Linked DNA regions of Arabidopsis thaliana. The protein of the gene in region 3 interacts with the protein of the main gene of each other region in a pairwise test. Each region holds a gene or a part of one and is shown on either strand. Other genes may lie near its edges. The genes, in order: PFK3, AT5G44090 and AT3G44620.

Region 1 (7,310 bases), on a different chromosome or scaffold from region 3:
ATGTTACGTAAATTTGCTCCCTCAATTTTGTATATTTGCTTATGAACTGTGTCAATGTCACATCCATATTTGTTATTCAAGCCCTGGTTAAATAGCAGAGAAGAGTATGCCAACAAAATTACCCTTCCCGCCAACTATTACACACAAGCTAAAATGAATCAATTCTCTTATGGTTACGTCAAACACTTAAACTAACCTGTTAACCAGCTTAAAAAAAAAATATATGAAAGTTGCAGAATGTTGAACCTATAATCTAACTTAGACATTATCTTGCGATAGGAATATATTAAAATATTTAAATAATTAATGCTGACATTGCGATGTCATGTACGTTTCCAATATAAACACTCTCGATTAAAGTGAATAAGTGATGCCCTAAGTGATATGTATAGGTCAGGACATTGTATATTATTGAATCATCAAATGACCATTCGGGCAGGCTGAGGTACAAATAGATAAAAATCGATGGTAGATACCAGTTGGAAAGTGAATGGAATCCTTGGCAGCAGAAAAGATAATTTTGGAATCTTTGGATTTTAATGTCCTATTATCTCATAGACAAAGAAGACAGAATTTTTACTTTTAAAAATATCAAGTTTATAGTTATCGTATGCTAGTTATAGGAAGACATACTTTTCACGAGTAAAAGAACTTTTTTTTGTATGTATTACACTTCTAGTATAAAAATACATGCACTATAATTTCTGATTCATAATTTCATAATCCCCTACCACGTTATCTCTCTTTTTGTTTTTGTACGTCACTATTGCCTCTCGATTTTTGAGATACATGTTCGTAATAAAATAAAATAAATATTTTTAAAAGTGATGTGTAAACGTTTTATTGGATCATATATTTTAACATTTTAATATAAATAGTGATACTAGGGGTTTGAAGCAAACACAGCATTCAAAATAAGTCGCTAAAAGTAAAAACAAAAGAAAAATGGAGAAGTGGATGAACTTGAGAGACGAAGACTTAACGGAAGAAACAAAGACTCTAATCTCTTCACTTTCTTCAGAGAAAGGGTACCTCGGTCGAAACCTCTGCAAGTACCAAGGCTCTTGGTATTACTACAACTTTCTCCAAGGTGTTCTCAATTTCCAGAGAGGTTTTAAGCCTCAAGACACTGATATTATCGTCGCATCGTACCCAAAATCCGGCACCCTGTGGCTCAAGGCACTCACTGTCGCGCTTTTTGAGAGAACAAAGAACCCTTCTCATGATGATCCTATGAGCCATCCTCTTCTATCCAACAATCCTCACAACCTCGTACCTGTCCTTGAGATGAATCTTTACCGGGATACCCAAACACCGGACTTGACCTAGCTCTCATCATCATCTCCAAGGTTGTTCTCTACTCACACGCCTTTCCACACGCTGCAAGTAGCTGTCAAGGACTCTCCTTGCAAGGTGGTTTACATCTGCAGGGACGCGAAAGATTCGCTGGTGTCACGTTGGCATATCGTTTGCAGGAGTCTGAATAAAGAAGAGGACAGAACCATTCTTGAGTCTATGTTTGAGTCCTTTTGCAGCGGAGTCTGCTTGTTTGGTCCGTTTTGGGATCATATCCTGAGTTACTGGAAAGCTAGCTTGGAAAAGCCAAAGCAAGTGCTTTTCATGAGGTATGATGAGATAAAAACAGATCCTCATGGTCAGCTCAAGAAACTCGCAGAGTTTTTGGGTTGTCCATTTTCTAAGGAAGAAGAAAAGAACGGATCTCTAAATAAGATCTTGGAGATGTGTTCTCTGCCTAACCTGAGCAGTTTGGAGGTTAACAAGACCGGAAAGTCAATCAATGGCATAGAGTACAAGAACCATTTCCGCAAAGGGATAGTTGGTGACTGGAAGAATCATCTAACTCCGGAAATGGGTAGCAAAATCGACATGATCATGAAGGAGAAACTCAAAGATTATTCCGAGGTTTGGTTTGAAAATGCATTGTAATAATTAATAAGTGACCCTTCTGATGTTAAGGTGCATGGTTTTAAAATTCTGAATTAGTGATGTTTATGTGTTGTTTGTGTTTTGTTTTCCTTTGAAATGCATTGTAACAATAAGTACCTGTATCCTTTGATCATGTAAAGGTTCATGGTTTCAAAATTCTGAGAAATAATAAACCGGATCGGTTATTTCGGTTATCGGTCGGACCGTATTAATGCATGGCTTGACCTTGACTTGATAACCAAGCCCAACAGTTGGAAAAAATCAATAAAAGGTAACAAAATAGAAAACCAATAAACAAATATCAATTCTAGAAAAATATCGATCTTTCTCTGCAAGTACTTGTACTAGTCGTCGTTACTGTCAAATAATCTACAAAGCAGTGACCAAAACCACCATTTCCGCACATAGCTAAGACCTTTAATGGTTTCCTCTCTCTCTCTATCTCTACCTGGCTTTGTAATTTGTTTACCGACTACAATGGTCAAAATTTCTCTACTCCTATAAAAATGGGTCGCCTTGTTTTTGATCAACGGATTTGATTCATCTTTCTTTTTACCTTTCTTCCTGCTTTCGTATTCAATTTGTAGTTGACCAGTTCAAAAGTCTCTATACCAGAAAAAAAAATCGTTTTTTATTATATTATAAGACTTTTCCCCTGAAATTGTTGTTCCTCTGTTTCGAGCGTTCGTTATGAGTACTGTGGAGAGTAGCAAACCGAAGATCATCAATGGCTCTTGTGGTTATGTTCTAGAAGATGTACCGCATCTCTCCGATTACCTTCCTGGTCTTCCTGTATGTTTACCTCTCTCTTTTTTTAATCTGATTTGATTAAAGCTTTTGCTTTTGAGCTTTAACTGTTGCAAAAGGTTGAAACTTTGATCTATGTTGATAGATATTTATATATCAATTTTTTCAGCTGAGGACTGTTTAGTTTTTTTGTTTGGAATTTGAGATAGATGAAATGAATTTCCCAGATTCTGATTAGTATAAGATAGCCCAGGGTAAAGAAAAAGGGGTCTTTTGTATTTGGGTCTCAAGAATTATGAACCTGGATCAAAATCTGTAGCATGGTTTAAGAGTTTTTGTCCTTTTACCATGTTATTTTTGGGATCGAATGATGGTTAAGTTTTGATTAATGGTCAATTTTCTTTTGGTTTTATGTTATTGTAGACTTATCCTAATCCATTGCAAGACAATCCAGCTTACTCAGTGGTTAAGTAAGTCCTTTCTCACAGATGTTTTGGTGACTAAGGTTCCTAATTGTGTCCTATGGTGATTCAATCATTAGCCTGCAGTTGTTACATTAGTTTTTTATTTTTGGAAATTTTCAGGCAATACTTTGTTGATGCTGATGACAGTGTTCCTCAAAAGGTATATATTTGGTTGGGTTCTTTCTATAATATCAGGGCATCCTGAGAATTTGGAGCTCATGTTTTGTCTTACTGACTCTTCTTTTTGTTGTTTTAGATCGTTGTTCACAAGGATGGTCCAAGGGGGATTCATTTTAGACGAGCCGGGCCACGTCAGAAGGTTTTTCGTCGTTTTATCGAATTGCTTTAAAGTCCTTTTTCCATTTCAATAGGGTCTGTTGTTGACTTAGTTCTCTGCAGGTATACTTCGAATCTGATGAAGTGCATGCTTGCATAGTTACCTGTGGAGGTCTTTGTCCTGGCCTTAATACCGTGATTAGAGAAATAGTGAGCAGTCTATCTTATATGTATGGAGTGAAGAGAATACTGGGAATAGATGTAAGTTTCTGTGATTGTAATCTCCTTCTTACCAAAACAAACACGGTATTCATTTGTTTCATTTTCACATGCTTGAGACTTTTTCAGGGTGGATATAGAGGCTTTTATGCTAAGAATACTGTCTCCTTGGACTCTAAAGTTGTAAATGATATCCATAAGCGTGGAGGGACTATCCTTGGGACCTCACGAGGTGGTCACGATACCACAAAGATAGTTGACAGCATTCAAGATCGAGGAATCAATCAGGTTTTGATAACCATCACCTCTTTACACCGTGTTCTGTTCCAAGAGTACATACAAACTCGTTCTTGATGTAGTTTTTTTCATCGTTCAGGTTTACATTATAGGAGGAGATGGAACACAGCGAGGAGCATCTGTCATATTTGAGGTAAATTTCACTTCTACCTTACAATTCTACAATTTCAGTGTTTACTGATCTTTTGGTGGTAACCATGTAGGAAATTAGAAGACGTGGCCTGAAAGTTGCAGTTATTGGAATCCCGAAAACAATCGATAATGACATACCTGTATGTATCTCTTTCTACTGCTTTGTCTCTATAGAAGAGCTGTATTTCTTATGTGGAGAAATTGAGAACTTGACTTTTGTATTTGTGCAGGTGATAGACAAATCTTTTGGGTTTGACACTGCTGTAGAAGAGGCTCAACGAGCTATTAATGCAGCACATGTGGAAGCCGAGAGTATAGAGAATGGTATCGGAGTTGTCAAGCTTATGGGTCGCTACAGCGGTGAGAATTCACTCTTCTACTTCTTCTTTGCCTTATCAAGCTCTCTTATTAGACTATTTCACAAGTTTGTTCACTGCTTTAACAGGGTTCATAGCGATGTATGCCACTCTAGCAAGCAGAGATGTGGACTGCTGTTTGATTCCGGAGTCACCATTTTACCTGGAAGGAGAAGGCGGACTGTTTGAGTACATAGAGAAACGACTCAAGGAGAGCGGTCACATGGTTCTTGTGATTGCAGAAGGTGCAGGACAAGATCTAATGTCGAAGAGCATGGAATCTATGACACTCAAAGATGCATCTGGTAACAAACTTCTTAAAGATGTTGGCCTTTGGCTGTCACAAAGCATCAAGGTAAACCATAAATTACAGAGACAGCATCAAACATTGATGCATAGGAAAATCAGACTAAACTCACCTACTACTAAATTTTGGTTTTACTCGGTTGTAGGATCATTTTAATCAGAAGAAGATGGTGATGAACCTCAAGTACATAGGTACAATTTATATCCCTTGCATTGCATTCTCTCCACCATGAGTTTCTTGATTGTTCATTTTTCTTGTCTTAATTTCAGATCCAACATACATGATTCGAGCTGTTCCTAGCAATGCGTCAGACAATGTTTATTGTACACTTCTGGCTCAGAGTGCAGTGCACGGTGCAATGGCTGGATACACTGGCTATATCAGTGGTCTAGTGAACGGAAGACAAACCTACATACCCTTTTACGTAAGTCATAAAATCGATTTAAATTTTAATGATGTGATAGCATGCTTTGGCAATCAAAAAATAGAGCACCAAAAATTGATGATGCATGATCATTATACCAGTATCATCATACTGTCATCAGTTATCATCACCGTTAAAGTCATCATCCTCATATCATCATAATCATAGTATCACTTTTATGTAAACATCATTTTTATGTTACAGAGGATAACGGAGAAACAGAACCATGTGGTGATCACAGACAGGATGTGGGCAAGGCTACTCTCTTCGACAAACCAGCCGAGTTTCTTGGGCCCCAAAGATGTCTTTGATAATAAAGAGAAACCGATGTCGGCTCTCCTTGACGATGGTAACTGCAATGGCGTGGTGGATGTTCCTCCAGTCACCAAAGAGATCACCAAGTGACCTGAACATAAGAACAACGACAGAAAAGCTTTGCGTTTTCAAAAGATGTTACATGTTTTAGGTAGTTGAGTAAAATAATAGGGTGTTGACGGTTTTACCCTTTTTGGCATAACAAAGCAATCTTTGTTAGATGCCTCACGTTGTAATTTTCCACGTCATGATGCTTTAGTCCCACGTCATATAAATAAGTTCCATTTATCCCATTTTACATTCTGCTTATATATAGAATAATCTAGCTACGAATTGTCAATGCATGATCATGTCAATGTGATGATTGATTATTTGCTATTTAAGACGTTAAAAATATGTTCTTTGCTGAAATCAAAATGCAAATATTCAAGTTCTTGCTTTCAACTATAACATGGTGAATCCTTCAAAGTTTTAACCATGTGATCAACATAAATTTTGTAGATAATTTCATACGAAATGACAGTTATACTAGATCATTATCATCGTCATATAGAAATATGTGATTACGTATCTTACGAATTACACCTGTTTGGTACGTAATTCTCTTCTGTCCATGACCTAACAGAAGCGAAGATGCAAAGATACCGTGATCAATTTGAACACCTCTATCTGAGTATGAGCATTAAAGGTCATGACATTGTTCGCATGGATGTATCAGTACTAATGTAATATTGTACACTTAGAGTTACGTTAATAAAACTTTGTTTACATTACAATGCACAATTTTTAGACCTTGGAGGCTTAGATTATTATAAATAAACTTCATTATTTAAGATCTTATATCACCCGACGTACAAACTCTTTAGCATTCACGAGGGTTGATTGTGATTACATTTCAGAGACAGCCTGAATATGATTAACATAAGATATATATAACACAATTACAATAGATTCACATTAACTCGAAAATGTGTAAAAATATTTGTAAGTAAATAAAACGACTAATCCTCCATGGGCACTTTTTTACTCCACCGAATTCACCACCTCAAGTTTTCCGGGAAATACTGCAAAATCGAAAAAGAGAAGAAAGAATTTATAGTCAGCTGAAGAATTTAGAAATATATGAATGTTTTCAATATTAATACACTTTTCATTGTTTTTTGTAATGAGCATGCAATATATACTCACTTTCTTGATAAGAGACATGTAGTAAGGCTTGACCTTCTCCACATCAACGTGAACTTTGCTCTTACTGTACAAGTCGTACTTGCTGTAATAAAATTCATATATATATATAGCAGTTTAGAGATGCTATTAGGAGAAACAACAAATCACTTAATCATGTTTAAGAAAATGTGATTACTTGAAAACGTGTAGCCACTTCAGATTCTCCTTGTCTTCCTCGTTCATAAGATGGGTGTATTCTCCAGCCGTGTGCAAAGCTGCATATATTCAATTGATTTATTAAAATAACCTTTACTCATAGCTACAAATTTATAATGTTACTAAAATCATATATTTCTTAGTTGAAGTGCTTACGGTAAAAGGAATGGTATCTTATGATAAACTGTCCAGCCGACGGCAAGGTACTTCCGTTTTCTTTAGCCACCTGAAAAAAAATATTAATTAACATCAACTTTATCCTTTACAAAACTCAAGATTGATTAAACTTTTCTGAAAAAACATTACTCTAAACTGTAAAAATAATCAAGTAATTACCAGGTACATGTAGTCGTCATGGCCCCAAGACATCATGACATTGTTTAATCCACACCCTTCAGAGTAAATCCCATTTTTAGTGTTGTAGGTTTCGTTGTGAAAATCTG
Region 2 (8,835 bases), on a different chromosome or scaffold from region 3:
GTTAACACTCACCTTGGAGTCGGTAAGAGTGTTGATCTGTGGAATTATATGTATTCATAAAAATTTTCCGTCAAATACTTAATTAGTTTTCGCTGATGTTTAAACAGAACAAAGTCGAAGGGATGATTTGGAATCACTTGGTTATGTTCTTATGTATTTTCTCAAAGGAAGGTTAGCGTCTACAGCTTCTCTACCTGAGTCTGTAAAATTCTGTATATTTTCTTGAACAGAGTTTAAACCATATGTTTTTTTGGGCTATCAGCTTACCTTGGCAGGGATTAAAAGCTGGGACAAAGAAGCAGAAGTATGACAGAATCAGCGAGAAAAAAGTGTCAACTCCTATAGAGGTTAGGTTACAACAACTTGACAAACCGAAAGGATTTTCATTTTGGCATTGGTAGGTAATCTAGCTTTTCTAACTGAGCTTGGAATGTTTCGATGTAGGTATTGTGTAAAAACCAACCGTCCGAGTTCGTTTCATACTTTCATTACTGCCGATCTTTACGGTTTGATGACAAACCTGATTACTCTTACCTCAAGAGGCTTTTCCGTGACTTGTTTATCCGAGAAGGTTCTTATCTTAACATCATTATTCCGAGAAATTTTATTCGCTTACTGTTTCAAGCCACTCTCATCTTATCTTTTTCATATTGTTGAAACTCTTACAGGTTATCAATTCGATTATGTATTTGACTGGACAGTCTTAAAGTATCCTCAAATCGGATCCAGCTCTGGTTCTAGTTCACGAACAAGGGTGATTATTAAAAATCTTATACTTGTGTTTTTACCCTCATGGTTTTTGAGTTTCTCTGTACTTACGTAAATGTAAATCTTTGGATTTTCCAGCATCATACAACAGCGAAACCCGGATTCAACGCAGATCCTATTGAAAGACAAGAGAGGATCCTAGGTAAAATTCTGCTTTTCCTACTTCTATTAAAAATCTCAAAACCATACACATCCATTCCTCACTCTAATTTCTACTCTTTTTTTATTTACCATTCGTGTAGGAAAGGAAACAACCCGATATAAAATCCCAGGTGCAGTGGAGGCATTCTCCAGAAGACACCCGACTACAACTTCTTCGCCTCGAGATCGTTCTAGATCAAGAAACTCAGACGACGGACCTTTCTCTAAGCAGACAGTAAAAATCTTACTCTTTACATACATTGTTGATCAGAACCGCTAAATAAGACAAAGACCTAACTGTGTTTGTTTTATTTGTGCAGCATGGAGACTCCGAAAGAGCAAACAGTTCCTCAAGATATAGAGCATCTTCTTCTAGGAAAGCCGTTGCTGCTTCAAGCTCCCGGCCAAGTTCTGCAGGTGGACCAAGCGAAAGCCGAACTTCAAGTCGTCTGGTTTCCTCAAGCGGTGGTGGTGGCAGCGGCAGTGGAAATGGCCGTCCCTCAACTAGCCAGAGAGTGCAAGCTGGATATGAATCCAAGACTCTGTCTTTCTCTCGTGCAACAGCGGCAAGAAACACTCGGGAAGATCAATTAAGAAGCTTCGAGCTTCTCTCTCTTCGGAAATAAAGGAAAATGATGGAGAGAGAGACAGCAAACTCCATGAAAACCCAAAGAAATTACCTCTGAAGAAAGATGAGAATCTTGGTTTGAGGGAATTCATATATTTGAACCTGATGAAATCCTCAGATCTTTTTACATGTAATTTCAGCTTCAGCTTGCAGAGATCTTTTTCACTCGTTTTGTTTATGTAATCGTGATATGTGTTAGACAAACATAACAATCAAAAATGTAGAGAGAGTTTCCATGTAAAAACGGTAAAATTTCTATCCGTATATTCGATTACTTCGAACCTATCTGTACTGGTACTGTAATAAACAAAACAATCAACTGCTCTTTGGTCTCTTTTAATGCTTCTGTTTTTTTGGGGCAGGCATACTCTGGTCAAATCATGTAAAAACGGTGAAATTTTGGCTTAATAGTAAAATTAGCTCATCTACTTAGTCAAATCATACTTTAGATGACTCCAATCTAAAACTCTTTATTTTTATTTTTTCCATACTTCAAATGTTTACTTATTCACTGATCGTATACTTGAATGGTTATAGTTAAACTCTTCACATTTTGTTAGCGCTCATCTTCGAATAAAGTGGCAAAACTGAATTTCATATTGAAGTTACACATATAAAATACATTCATTTTTAGATTCATATGATCTACTCCTACATACTTTTGCATTTCGACTAAAAAAGCAAGTGCTCCAATACAATTTTTGAGAAATGACAAATATTCATCATCATTCTTCAAAACTAGGTTTACACATGTGAAGTCACATTTTTATGACTTTAATGAATCAGTTGCAATCTTGATGATAACAGTCGAAACGTCATGAAGTTTAACAACCAAACAAACAATTTGATCGCTAATTTCTGCGATTTATTAATTGACTCGAGACTCAAATAAACATGATCGCAAAAACGGATAAAGAACGCTGGATTTGGTTGACTTTTTGGTCAACGTTGAGGACTAAAAGTGGAAAACAAAAATACCACCACCACCGCTAGTACTACTGCGTCTGAGACTGAGAGAGAGTATTAAAATCAAAATTAAATACTTTTTCCTTTTTAATTCATTTTCTCATCAATAACACAATCTCCCTGGAAAAATTCTCTACGACTTCCTCTCGTCGTCGAGCTTGTTATTGATCGGAGAGAGAGATCAGTGTTCTTTGGATCTTCCAATTTCTTCCACGTTTGTGCTTGAATTGCAGAAGAAGTTTTGTATAGGACTCTGTTTTGCTTGTTGATAGAATTTGGGAATCTAGGGTTTATCGAATCGTTTATTTTGGTTTTCGTTTAGTTTCTCTTCTTCGAGCTGGTGTTTCTCAACTAGTTAGAGAGTTTCTCGATTGGTCAGAGCTGCTTTTATTGAATTTTCTTTGGATTTCGTGCTTATAGATCTTTGAAAAGTCTGAGAATCCTGTTTTGGAGTTACTGCTTCAAGTTATTGGAAGAAATTAGGGTTTCGATCCAATTTTAGAATTGACTCAAGGAATTCCGATATTGGGGTTTTGTTGTAGTTCTGATTCTCAGTGAATAAGATAGAAGATAATCATGGAAATCGATGGTGGAAACGATGTTCAGATTTTGGATCCTGAGCTCTTGCAGCTTCCCGGTTTGTCTCCTGTATCACTTAAAGAAAATCCTCATATTGCTGAAGAACTCTTCTCCCAGTGGCTTTCACTTCCTGAAACTGGCCGATTGGTAATTTTATTCCCAAGCCTCTGGCTCAGTGGCTCCTTAGCGTCGTTTGGTTTCTTGTTCATTTAATAGTTGGCGCCTGTTTTATGTATATGCTGATACCTGTTCGTAAGTCCTTGTTGTGACTTTATCTGATTTCAAGTCAATTTCTGCAGAGCAAGATTCAACATGCTTATTGCTCTTACTGAATCCTCGGCTGTTGCATATTTAGTAGTTTTGTTTATTTCTTATAGATTTTACTTAGTGTTAGATAAAGAGTGCTTGAATAGCACATTTAGGGGTTATAATGACTTAGGTGATAATAGTACTGGGATATTACAAGGCTCTGCTAAACTTGAGAAGTGTTTGTATTTGTGTAGTACCAGATTTAACTTAAAGCTCCTGAGAATATGGTCCAGTGTTGTATGCCGATTGCCGACTCATGTTGGTGAAGAAACTTTTGGTGGTTGTTTTTCGTTTAAGGTTTTACGTGGTCCTCTTTTAACAGTTCATCTGTGTGATGTTTGTGCAGGTCAAGTCTTTAATTGATGATACTAAATCTAGTACCCCAGTCAGTGTATCCAAAAATTGTACTAGTCTCAATGTTGCTTGCGGGAGTGCATTGCCATCTGTTTTTCTGAACAGCGGCACTCCCCCACTATCCCCACGAGGCTCACCTGGGTCTCCCCGTTTCTCGAGGCAAAAGACAAGCCCTTCTCTACAGTCTCCTCTGAAATCAGTCAGGGAACCAAAGCGCCAACTCATTCCACAGGTTCGATTTTTTATCCAACTGCTCCTCATATGGATGTCTTACAAACAACATGAGAAGGCACTACCTTGCTTGACAGTTGACATCATGATTTGATTGTTTTATATATGCTCACGTAATTGTTGAAACTAGACTGTAATAGTTTTCTAAGTAGATGGAGAACCACGAGAACAAATACAATAGAAACTAAATTCTTCGTTCAAGTAGCATAGGTACAATTTTTTTTTTAACAAAACGATGACAACAAGTAAGTTTATTATGGTCATCCGTTTGACATCTTACATAGTTGAAGGGTTTAGCTAATATTGTTCAACATTCTTGTTTGACGCTTCTATGCCTTGATATGCTATGCAGTTTTACTTCCAACATGGACGTCCACCTGCGAAGGAACTAAGGGAGCAATGTATATCCATGGTTGATCAATTTTTTAGTAACTATATAGACGGACTTCATATGGATGGTGATGTTTAAATACAAGCTTTTTTACATCACAGTCCCGTTCTGTAATGAATAGACAAACAGTTGATCTTACAAACACATTCTTGCTATTGTTCAATTGCAGAATTCAAATCCATTACTAAAGAAGTCTGCAAGCTGCCTTCTTTTCTTTCCTCTGTACTATTTAGAAAGATAGACACGAGTGGCACCGGTATCGTTACAAGGTAAATCATTGTGTTCTTTCTTTTCATATGTAATTGTAGTTAAATGTATATATCCACTGGTATTCATATGTGTTTCATGTAATATAATAATAGATCACATTGGTCTGGATTTCCAGATGCACGCTCAGCTATTTGTTTCATAAATTGCTCACCCTTAAAAGAAATGGAATGTGGCATAGTAATTTTAATACCTGATTGTTATCTTTTTATTTATTTATGCCACTCGAATATAATTTCTTTTTACTTTCAATAAATTTAGTGTGCTCGATTTTATATATTGTTTAGAACATTTGTGATAAGTAATATTGAAGTTTCTACCCTGTAGATATTGTTTGGAATTGATACATCTTTAAATTAGCCAAATCATGAGTAATATCATAGAAATATACAGCAGCTGTAATCTTTCTGTTTAGCTAGTATCTTTTAAATACACCATATTTGGTTCCTGCAGGGATGCATTTATCAAGTATTGGGTTGATGGACATATGTTGGCAATGGACGTAGCCTCACAGATATATAATATTTTAAGGCAGCCAGGTTGCAAGTACCTTAGACAGGTCTCTTTGTTTTCTTTTCCCAGCTCTTCACTGCTGTTTTGATTTGTTTACCAATGATTATTGTCTCACTTGATTTCTTTAGTCCTGAAGGCTAATGTCTTCTTTTGGATTTGGGATAGGCTGACTTCAAACCAGTTCTTGATGAGCTTCTGACAACTCATCCCGGCTTGGAATTCCTGAGGAATACACCTGAGTTTCAAGAAAGATATGGTAAGAACTTGGTTTTTGATACATTGATGTTATGGTGTGAAATAGTTCTACCAGAATGTCTGTTTTCTACTAAGACGTTCGTACAATTTCTTTCCATATATATATGATCTTTCAAAACGCATTGACGAACTTGAAAGTGACATCTTTAGCTGGCTTGATTGGCCTAGGCAATAATTCTTCTAATTTTAATTCTATGTACTTGTTCATTATAATTACATTTTGAAAATTATGAGATGCTTCTTAAATATAGTATATTTTCAGGTGCTTACTGTTTTATACATCTATTGACTAATTCATAATTTTTCCCGTGCTTGTTTCATTCATCTCTGTGTTCTATTCCGTCAACCCAGCTGAGACCGTCATCTACAGAATATTTTACTACATAAACAGATCAGGTACTGGTTGCATTACTCTTAGAGAGCTGAAGCGTGGGAATCTTATTACTGCCATGCAACAAGTTGATGAAGAAGACGACATCAATAAAGTTATTAGGTGACTTTGTTTTCCTTTTCATTATTTCTTAAACAATACGTTAAAAAGATTAAGATTTTAGTTTTATTTGTATAATAAAGACCACTTTAAGTTGTTTAAGAATTCAAGCTCAGCAAGGTGTGTAGCATTGTGAGTAATATGGGTAGTGCATAGGTCTTCGAATTGTTTCTTAGACATAAGCACTACCCATAAAACTCATAAAGAGGAAGAAGTGTATTGGTAGTTCATATTGTGATACTGTGGCAAGACATCATGCATGATTTGACCATTCAATATGACCTTTTCTTTACTTTTCAGGTACTTCTCCTATGAGCATTTCTACGTGATATACTGCAGATTTTGGGAACTCGATGGCGACCATGATTTCCTTATTGATAAGGAAAATCTCATCAAATATGGTAATCATGCCCTTACCTACAGGATTGTCGACAGAATATTTTCACAGGTTGGCTCCAGTTGTCAAAATGTTAATGAACACTTTTCTCGAAACTTAATTGTTATCTTATGGAGTGTGTTTCCTTCTTTCTTAATTGAAATTACGGCTGTCTCTCACTCAGGTTCCTAGGAAATTTACAAGCAAAGTTGAGGGGAAGATGAGTTATGAAGATTTTGCATACTTTATTCTCGCTGAGGAGGATAAGTCATCTGAGCCTAGTCTTGAGTATTGGTACATGTCTCTTCCCCTCTTCTCTTTTTGTCTTTAGTGACTTCTCTTTAGCCATTTTGTCCTTTAGCTGCTTAGCTCACAGTATGTCACTATAAATGTATAACTTCTGAGCCAAAACTTGTGGCATATGTGGCCTTCTTGATGATACAAGCCTACCTGATATTTTGAACGCACTAAACATTTAGTAGTACTATTATTTCATGAACATAGGATACCCATCTTGAATCTAAGACATTTTCATTCATCATCTCATGAACCTAGAACATTTTCATTCATCATCTCATGAATCTAGAACATTTTCAGTTGAACCGCTGATATGAGGGCATACCTCGCTGGTATGCTCATCTATCTCCCATCGATGTTAAACACAGGTTCTTGGCAGTTTTTTGTTTTTCGTTTTCCCTTGATATTGATTAAAACCATCTTTGCAGGTTCAAGTGCATAGACCTAGATGGAGATGGGGTGATCACTCCCAACGAGATGCAGTTTTTCTACGAAGAGCAGCTGCATCGCATGGAATGTATAACCCAGGAACCTGTACTCTTTGAAGATATCCTATGTCAAATATTCGACATGATTAAACCAGAGGCAAAATTTCTTTTAAACCATAACATGGTCTTTTGATATTCCTGGCTTGTCTGTTCCTTTGCTCTTATTCGCATCATCAATTTGTCGAATGACTCTTTCAGAAGGAGAACTGCATCACACTCCAGGATCTGAAAGCATCCAAACTTTCTGGAAATATTTTCAATATACTCTTTAACCTGAACAAATTCATGGCGTTTGAAACCCGTGACCCTTTTCTCATTCGTCAGGTAAACATAGGTTTTCTATAGAGTTTTCCTCCCTTTGGTTATTCAATCCTTCGTTTAGCTGTTGAAACTGTTACTACTGAATATTTATTAATGCCATAAAAATTCGCAAAAATTATTATAAGTTCAGATAGTCACCTACTACTGCAGCCGGTTGTATCTGTTCCAGTCTCTGCTACTTCTAAACCAACTTTGTTTTCCATTTGACAGGAACGTGAGAATCCAACATTGACGGAATGGGACCGATTTGCTCAGAGAGAGTATGTGAGGTTGTCAATGGAGGAAGATGTGGAGGAAGTCTCGAATGGGAGTGCAGATGTTTGGGATGAACCACTCGAATCTCCATTTTAGTGACTCGTAAGAGGTACTTTGTTCAACACTGGTCAGCATCATGTTCCTTATGCATGTATGAAATAGCAAAATTGATGTGCTCAATGTTACAAGTTTGTATCTTTTGGTATATTAAACGTATTAAAAGCCGTTTTCGTTGCTTTTTTTACTAGTTTCTTGGGAAGAAGAGGGAGAAGTCAGATCTTCTTGGGTGGTAAGAGCCTCGGAAACAATTTTCAGACAGACAACCACGAAAGCCAGTCCATTCCACGGTTCCACCTAGAGATTGGCGACCAAGAGACTTATCCGATGCGTAAGCTTGTGTTAGTTTCATGAAATATTTGTCTTGCTTAGGTTTCTCAGGTTGGACCCTCTTTCAATCTTATGTATATTATTATATACGCCGCTTTATAGTGTTTTGTGGAACCAACAACAACGGTTTTATTTAAAATCGAAAGAACTATGTACAAAGACACTTTTTTTTGTGGGAAGAAATTTACAAACCTTGAAACTTGTTTTACATGATCATTGTTTTTGCTTTTTCCTCATTAGCAAATTTGTGCCTATGATATCAACTACAATTCTCGTATAAACTATAGAATATCAAATCAAATTATATACTATATATCAGTTTTTGATTGGTTTGAGCCGACATTGGTTATTTGTTTGTATAAGAATCATTAAAACTTTGTTTGTCAATATGATATTTTGGAAGATGTGTTAAAAAGTCGTGCATTTTGTTTTAACAAGCATGAACTCACTTTCTATGGCGGTTAAAAATAAGGGAATTTGACACGTTTAGACATTTTTAAAGAATTTTATTCTTTTTGAGGCACTTGTCACGGATGAAGCACTTTTCCAACTTTTTCATTAAACTTTTGACCAATTTATCTCTGAAAATTAAGAAATTATAATAAAAAAAAAAAGTTTCATCTTTCCACGTTCCTTTTTTTTTCTTCTTCTTCGTCGCTTCTTCTTTTCACTCTCTTTCTCTCTCTTCTCATTATTACTTTTTTTCTTTCCTTGCAAAATCAAACATTTGAGAGTTTGTCAAGATCGTGTAGCTTCTGTATTTTTCTTTACGGAGAAGCCTCTCTAAAGAAAACGGAGAATAAATAGTAAGGGTGTCGT
Region 3 (5,525 bases):
TAAATCTCGTTACTATAATTACGATGTAATTACCGTTAAAAAGGCAATAAATCTAGTACTAGTGATTAATTAACGGTGCCATTAAATTCAGTTATGTGTGTTTTAAGTGTTAACTACGAGACAATTCGCCAGCTGGCGAGTCCCACTTCCCTGATTTCATCAGGCTTTTATATTTATTCACTGCTTCATAGTAATAATTACTTCCCAAAAGATTTTTTTTTGAATTAGAAACTGAATATTTAAAAAAATAAATAACTTAACGGAAACTGTTACCTGACGGCGGATTCATGGAAACGTTTATGAGTCTGTTTTTGACGGAGAACGTGAAGGTCACCGCCGGGACAAAACTCCGTTAATAAACAGAGCCATTTCGGAGAATCAATGGCGGCGTAAAGCGTCGGAAGAAACGGATGATCAAGAGATTCGAGAATCTCTCTCTCCGTCTTAGCTCTACCTTCTTTGCTTCTGCTCGCGAGCTCCTTTTTATCCATAACTTTCGCTGCTAACAGAGGTAATTTAACGGCGGTGGTTTCTGTTACGGCGGTTAGGGATTTGAATTCGGCTAAGAAAACAGAGCCGATGTCGCCGGAACCGAGACGGAGACGGAATCTGAGATCGGAGAGTGAGAGAGATGATCGGAGTGAAGGAGGGAGTTTCGAAGATGAGAATGAACCGTGAGCTGATGGTGCTGGTGTTAAAGCTGCGGCGGAGGAGGAAGAGCGAGAACCGGAGCTTGTGCTTCGATTCACGGTGGTTCCGGCTGATGTAAAGCTTACACTCTGTAAGTCGTCGGTTAATTCGTCAATCCATGGCTCCATTTTCCGATCTACTGAGAGTGACGACGAGAGAGAGAAGAAGAAGAAGAAGAAGAGAGGGAGAGAAAGAGAGAAGTAACTGTGAGATTTTGCCTTTTTGGGGAAGAGAAAAAATAGAATCAAAAGAAGATGGCAAAGTTGTAATTTAAGGGTTGAGATATGGTGCGTTTCGTAATTTAAGGTAATAGTTCGATTGTTAAGGAGATGATGATACAGTATTCTATAATTGAGATGTTTTATTTATGTAAATAGACAATAATTAGGGAATTATTTGAGAGGGATTTTTGATTTCTCTATGAATTTTTAAGATCTTTGGTATAGGATTTGTTTCAAAAGAGAGAAACAAAGAGACATATAAATCTAGGCCCCTACAGAATTAAGATAATGACATATACATATCTTGTGTTTGTTCTATTTCAGTTGTGATTACTAGTATTTTCTTCGTATGGTACAATTATAAATAAATATCTAATCACTGTCTTTTGAATATTATGTCACCAAGTACAAGGATGGTGTTATTGGTGAACAATTTGTATCGTGAACTCAAATCCCTATTGCACGAACCTCAGGTTAGTGGTCGACTGGTCGCTCGGCCTCGTTTTCATTTCCTTTGAAACCATTATGGTTTAGATATTGGTTTAACTCAATTGCATATACCTAACCGGTTTGACTCGGGTGAATATGTTAGATAAGGAAAGTGTATATAACCCTTGTATTTTCTCATTAATGAAATCAGCAGAAACATTTTAGGTTGGATAAGGAAAGTGTCTATAACCATATCATTGAAAGACAAATTGCTTGGGTCGAAACCGGTTTTGTTAAGTCCGGCCCTGGATATATTACCAATTTGTAACACTCGTCTTAAACCGGATATTTTCTAGTCAGACCGAAAAAATACAAGTGAAAGAGGTTCAAATAAATTGATAACTTAGAACATTCATAACAATGACCAAAACAAATCTTTTCAATGAGGTTTGTAAATTGTAACTATATATCCGAATTAAAAAATAATCGTCATAAGTACTAACTGTTTTTCGGAGAATGAAATGGGCTATCTGTTGAAAACCTTAGGCCTGAGTTTAAAGACCATCTGTACAATTGGGCCAATAAGTAACGCATTATCCATCAACAAAGTACTGAAACATGAGACACTTAGACCATCTCCATCGGGGGTTTCTTGTAAGAATTTCTCACAATTAAAAAAAAAAAATAATAAAAATGAAGGAAAAAGAGTGTAGAAAGTTTCTCACTTGAGAAACTCTGAGATACTCTTTACAACCCATCATGATAATTCTCTTCTCATTATTGGTTCAACTTTTTAACAAAAATATTTTTTTAATCAAAAAATCAAATTATAATATAATATTAATTTTTTGTTTGTTTGAGAAACTTTGTGGGTTTCTCATGGATAAAAAGGCCCTTAACTTGTCATAGAAGTTACAACACAACATGAAAGTTAAACATCGCCGGCCAAAACAAAAATATTTCTGTGAATTTACACAAAATTATTTGCATTACCGACCATAATGTTCTCCTCAGTACCTTCAACACAATACAACAATACATTAACAAAATTGGTCTTCTAGCATTAGCCTCGTCTCTAAAATCTAACATCTTCTTCTACTCCTAATCCAACAATTGTTTATGTATATTCCCAATTATACCCCTCTATTACTTTGCTTATTACGGAAAAGGAGTTCAAAGAGCAGAAGAAGAAAACTCGTATATCCCAAATCTCCAACTTTTCAGGGGAATGATGATGTACTGTCCCAACCTCACGGCTTCTCTAACAATCCCTTCATATTTACCATTTTGCCACTACACTAGACAATTTCGTCCTTCTCATTTCCGATCATCTGATAAAAACCCGAATCTCGTTTCTATCATCCGAGCAAAACCCAGAATTTCTCATTCGCTTAGGTGCTTTGTATCATCTTCAATGGCGACTCCTCCTCCGACGCAGAGCAGCGAAACCAAACCTTACTCTGTTCTTTTTGTCTGTCTCGGAAACATTTGTCGCAGCCCAGCGGCTGAAGGTGTCTTTAGAGATATCGTGAAGAAGAGAGGTCTCGATTCCAAATTCAACATTGATTCCGCTGGAACAATTGATTATCACGAGGTATGATAATTAGTTCCAAAACAATTAATCTAATTTTAGGGTTTATGAGAGATGCTTGATTCATGGTTGATTTGAAATATTGGTGAATGATGGTTTTGTATGTAGAAAGGTTTGGTTTTGGTTTTAGGTTTTTTTGGTGGATGTAATTTGGTAGGAATACAGAGTTATAGAGACTTTGAAATTCATGTTTCTGAATCAATTTTGATGTGAAATTGCTCTTCTTACTAGGGAAGAGCAAAAACAGTAATCTATTTTTATGGTGATTGATGCTTTGATTGGAACAATTAGGCAATGGTGCTTTCAGATTTTGGTGGATGTAATGTGGTTGTAAATTAGGAGCAGTGGAGACTTTGGAATTTATGTTTCTGATTTGTGAAAATGTTGGTTTTTTAAAAGGGGAATATGGCGGATCCAAGAATGAGAAGTGCTGCGAAACGTCGCGGGATTGAGATAACATCACTATCCAGACCGATCAAGGCATCTGATTTCAGAGAATTTGATCTCATTCTTGCAATGGATGACCAGAACAAAGGTAGCTGATAGAGTAATTTATTCAACCTTTGTAGGGTCTGATCGATTTCTATGCAAATGGGATTCAACATAGGATAGAGACTTTTGCAAGTTGGGATCTGATTAGAGTTATATATGTAGAATTGAAATAAGTATGAGTTTGAATGTTTGATGTTTGCAGAGGATATATTGAAGGCTTATAATGTGTGGAAAGCCAGAGGGAATTTCCCGCCCGATGCAGATAAGAAGGTACCGTTGGTGTGTGTTTGCTGGACTTTGGAACTCTATTTAGTTGATAGATTTTCGTTGAATTTTCAGGTTAAGCTAATGTGTTCTTATTGCAAGAAACACAATGACAAGTTTGTTCCTGATCCATATTATGGTGGAGCCCAAGGTTTTGAGAAGGTAATTACCATTAGACTCTAAAGAAGCTGAATGCAGATATTTAATTTGGTTCATACCATTAGAGGTTGTCTATCAAAATGGTTGAGTCAGTCTATAAGACTTTAAAATGGCATTACCAGTGTCACTCCCAAGTAACTTTTCCATTCCCGAATTTTAGTGTTTTATGTGGACAAAACTCACTTGGAAACATGAATCTTGATCTCTTACTTGTTCTTTCACAGGTACTGGACTTGCTTGAAGATGCTTGTGAGTCTTTGCTGGATAGTATCACTGCGCAAAGTTGATGATACTACAAGTACAAAGTCCCAATCCTAGAACCTTTGTTGTTTTTGCACATAGAACTGAAAAGTTCTCTTATTATATTTAAGTGTCATCAGTGATGACAATAGAGTGAGAACTGATGTGAAGCTTGGATCTTGATCTTGTTGGTGTTTTCCTTGAAAAACCCTTTGTTAAATGATCTACTGATGGATCATTATTATTGAGATTGATAGCTTCAGTGATGTCAATAGTTTGTGAGGAATGATCTTCCTGATTCTTAAGAATCATAGAGAGTGGCACTCTTTACACGCTTGAATAATACGAATTCTTTTGTTCGATCATTATTATTAGGAAAGAAATAGATTTAAAAAAAAAAGAATGTGTGGACGTGAAGTGTTGTTGTTTGAGATGATAACAGAATATTTTCTCTTATCATTATGTGGCTTCCGAGAAATTAAGTGAATGGTGGTGGAGCATATGGACAATGATTTTGTCGTTTGCAATATTTTCCACGAAATCTCACTATATTTTCCATGAAACATCAATGGAGTTTTTCTGTGCCAATAGACTCGTCAACGGTCTATATCCTCATTCACACAAATTGTTTGAACTACCAAAATTCCATTAAACCCGTGTGATTCTTCAACTCTCTGGAGATTTCTCATCGTTTTATGCATCGGTGAGATTTTCATTTTTTTACTCCTCACTGTCTGAACTAAGTTCCAACTATTTTTAAGTTTTGCTTAAGGTTTTATCACTGTGGATTTGAATTGATTTGATGATAATGCTTTATTTGTTTTCGATTAGTGTTTTGAGCCCATTTCTTGATTATGTGTTCTTGATGGTGGGAATTAATGGTTGCAGCAGTGAATCATCAATAATCTAAGTTCTCATGGGTTCTGCAATGAGCTTGAGCTGTTCCAAGAGGAAAGCAACGAGTCAGGATGTTGATTCCGAATCTTGTAAAAGACGAAAGACATGCTCAACAAACGATGCTGAGAATTGCATATTCATTCCGGATGAGTCATCTTGGAGTTTATGTGCCAACAGAGTCATCACTGGTCTGTATCCATTCACATAAAGGCCATCTTAAATCTTGATCCACTCTTTACCATACTAATGAATTATTCTTATTTCCCTTGGCTCAGTGGCAGCCGTAGCTTTAACAAATTTCAGATTCCAACAAGATAACCAAGAAAGTAATTCTTCTTCTTTATCTCTTCCCTCCCTTGCAACTTCTGTGTCTCGAAACTGGAAACACGATGTCTTCCCGAGCTTCCACGGAGCAGATGTCCGAAGAACCTTTCTTAGTCACATCATGGAATCGTTCAGAAGAAAGGGAATTGACACATTCATTGATAATAATATAGAGAGGAGTAAGTCGATCGGTCCTGAGCTCAAAGAAGCTATCAAAG

What was found.
Region 1: the proteins of AT3G44620 (region 3) and PFK3 interact in a two-hybrid assay, tested with the Arabidopsis thaliana proteins (one large-scale study listed by BioGRID).
Region 2: the proteins of AT3G44620 (region 3) and AT5G44090 interact in a two-hybrid assay, tested with the Arabidopsis thaliana proteins (one large-scale study listed by BioGRID).

What each region holds. Positions count from the first base shown.
Region 1 is NC_003075.7:13,299,358-13,306,667, reverse strand, and holds PFK3 (phosphofructokinase 3), read left to right. Parts: upstream 1-2,227; 5' UTR 2,228-2,637; coding exon 2,638-2,739; intron 2,740-3,117; coding exon 3,118-3,164; intron 3,165-3,278; coding exon 3,279-3,318; intron 3,319-3,414; coding exon 3,415-3,477; intron 3,478-3,557; coding exon 3,558-3,695; intron 3,696-3,782; coding exon 3,783-3,941; intron 3,942-4,029; coding exon 4,030-4,083; intron 4,084-4,153; coding exon 4,154-4,222; intron 4,223-4,312; coding exon 4,313-4,442; intron 4,443-4,527; coding exon 4,528-4,793; intron 4,794-4,890; coding exon 4,891-4,936; intron 4,937-5,014; coding exon 5,015-5,169; intron 5,170-5,373; coding exon 5,374-5,574; 3' UTR 5,575-5,890; downstream 5,891-7,310. Other genes in the region: AT4G26280 (P-loop containing nucleoside triphosphate hydrolases superfamily protein), read left to right, coding at 946-1,272, 1,330-1,947; MIOX4 (myo-inositol oxygenase 4), read right to left, coding at 6,522-6,548, 6,673-6,754, 6,848-6,926, 7,024-7,093, 7,204-7,310.
Region 2 is NC_003076.8:17,742,154-17,750,988, reverse strand, and holds AT5G44090 (Calcium-binding EF-hand family protein), read left to right. Parts: upstream 1-2,463; 5' UTR 2,464-3,079; coding exon of another isoform or gene 3,080-3,229; 5' UTR 3,230-3,394; coding exon 3,395-3,649; intron 3,650-3,737; coding exon 3,738-3,977; intron 3,978-4,328; coding exon 4,329-4,434; intron 4,435-4,536; coding exon 4,537-4,636; intron 4,637-5,087; coding exon 5,088-5,193; intron 5,194-5,312; coding exon 5,313-5,403; intron 5,404-5,753; coding exon 5,754-5,895; intron 5,896-6,192; coding exon 6,193-6,340; intron 6,341-6,452; coding exon 6,453-6,562; intron 6,563-6,993; coding exon 6,994-7,150; intron 7,151-7,251; coding exon 7,252-7,377; intron 7,378-7,584; coding exon 7,585-7,725; 3' UTR 7,726-7,738; intron 7,739-7,877; 3' UTR 7,878-8,223; downstream 8,224-8,835. Other genes in the region: ckl7 (casein kinase I-like 7), read left to right, coding at 1-22, 108-171, 263-347, 445-571, 669-754, 847-910, 1,011-1,144, 1,230-1,535.
Region 3 is NC_003074.8:16,191,290-16,196,814, forward strand, and holds AT3G44620 (protein-tyrosine phosphatase), read left to right. Parts: upstream 1-2,539; 5' UTR 2,540-2,568; coding exon 2,569-2,934; intron 2,935-3,330; coding exon 3,331-3,466; intron 3,467-3,625; coding exon 3,626-3,849; intron 3,850-4,070; coding exon 4,071-4,133; 3' UTR 4,134-4,544; downstream 4,545-5,525. Other genes in the region: AT3G44610 (Protein kinase superfamily protein), read right to left, coding at 274-818; AT3G44630 (Disease resistance protein (TIR-NBS-LRR class) family), read left to right, coding at 5,003-5,171, 5,259-5,525.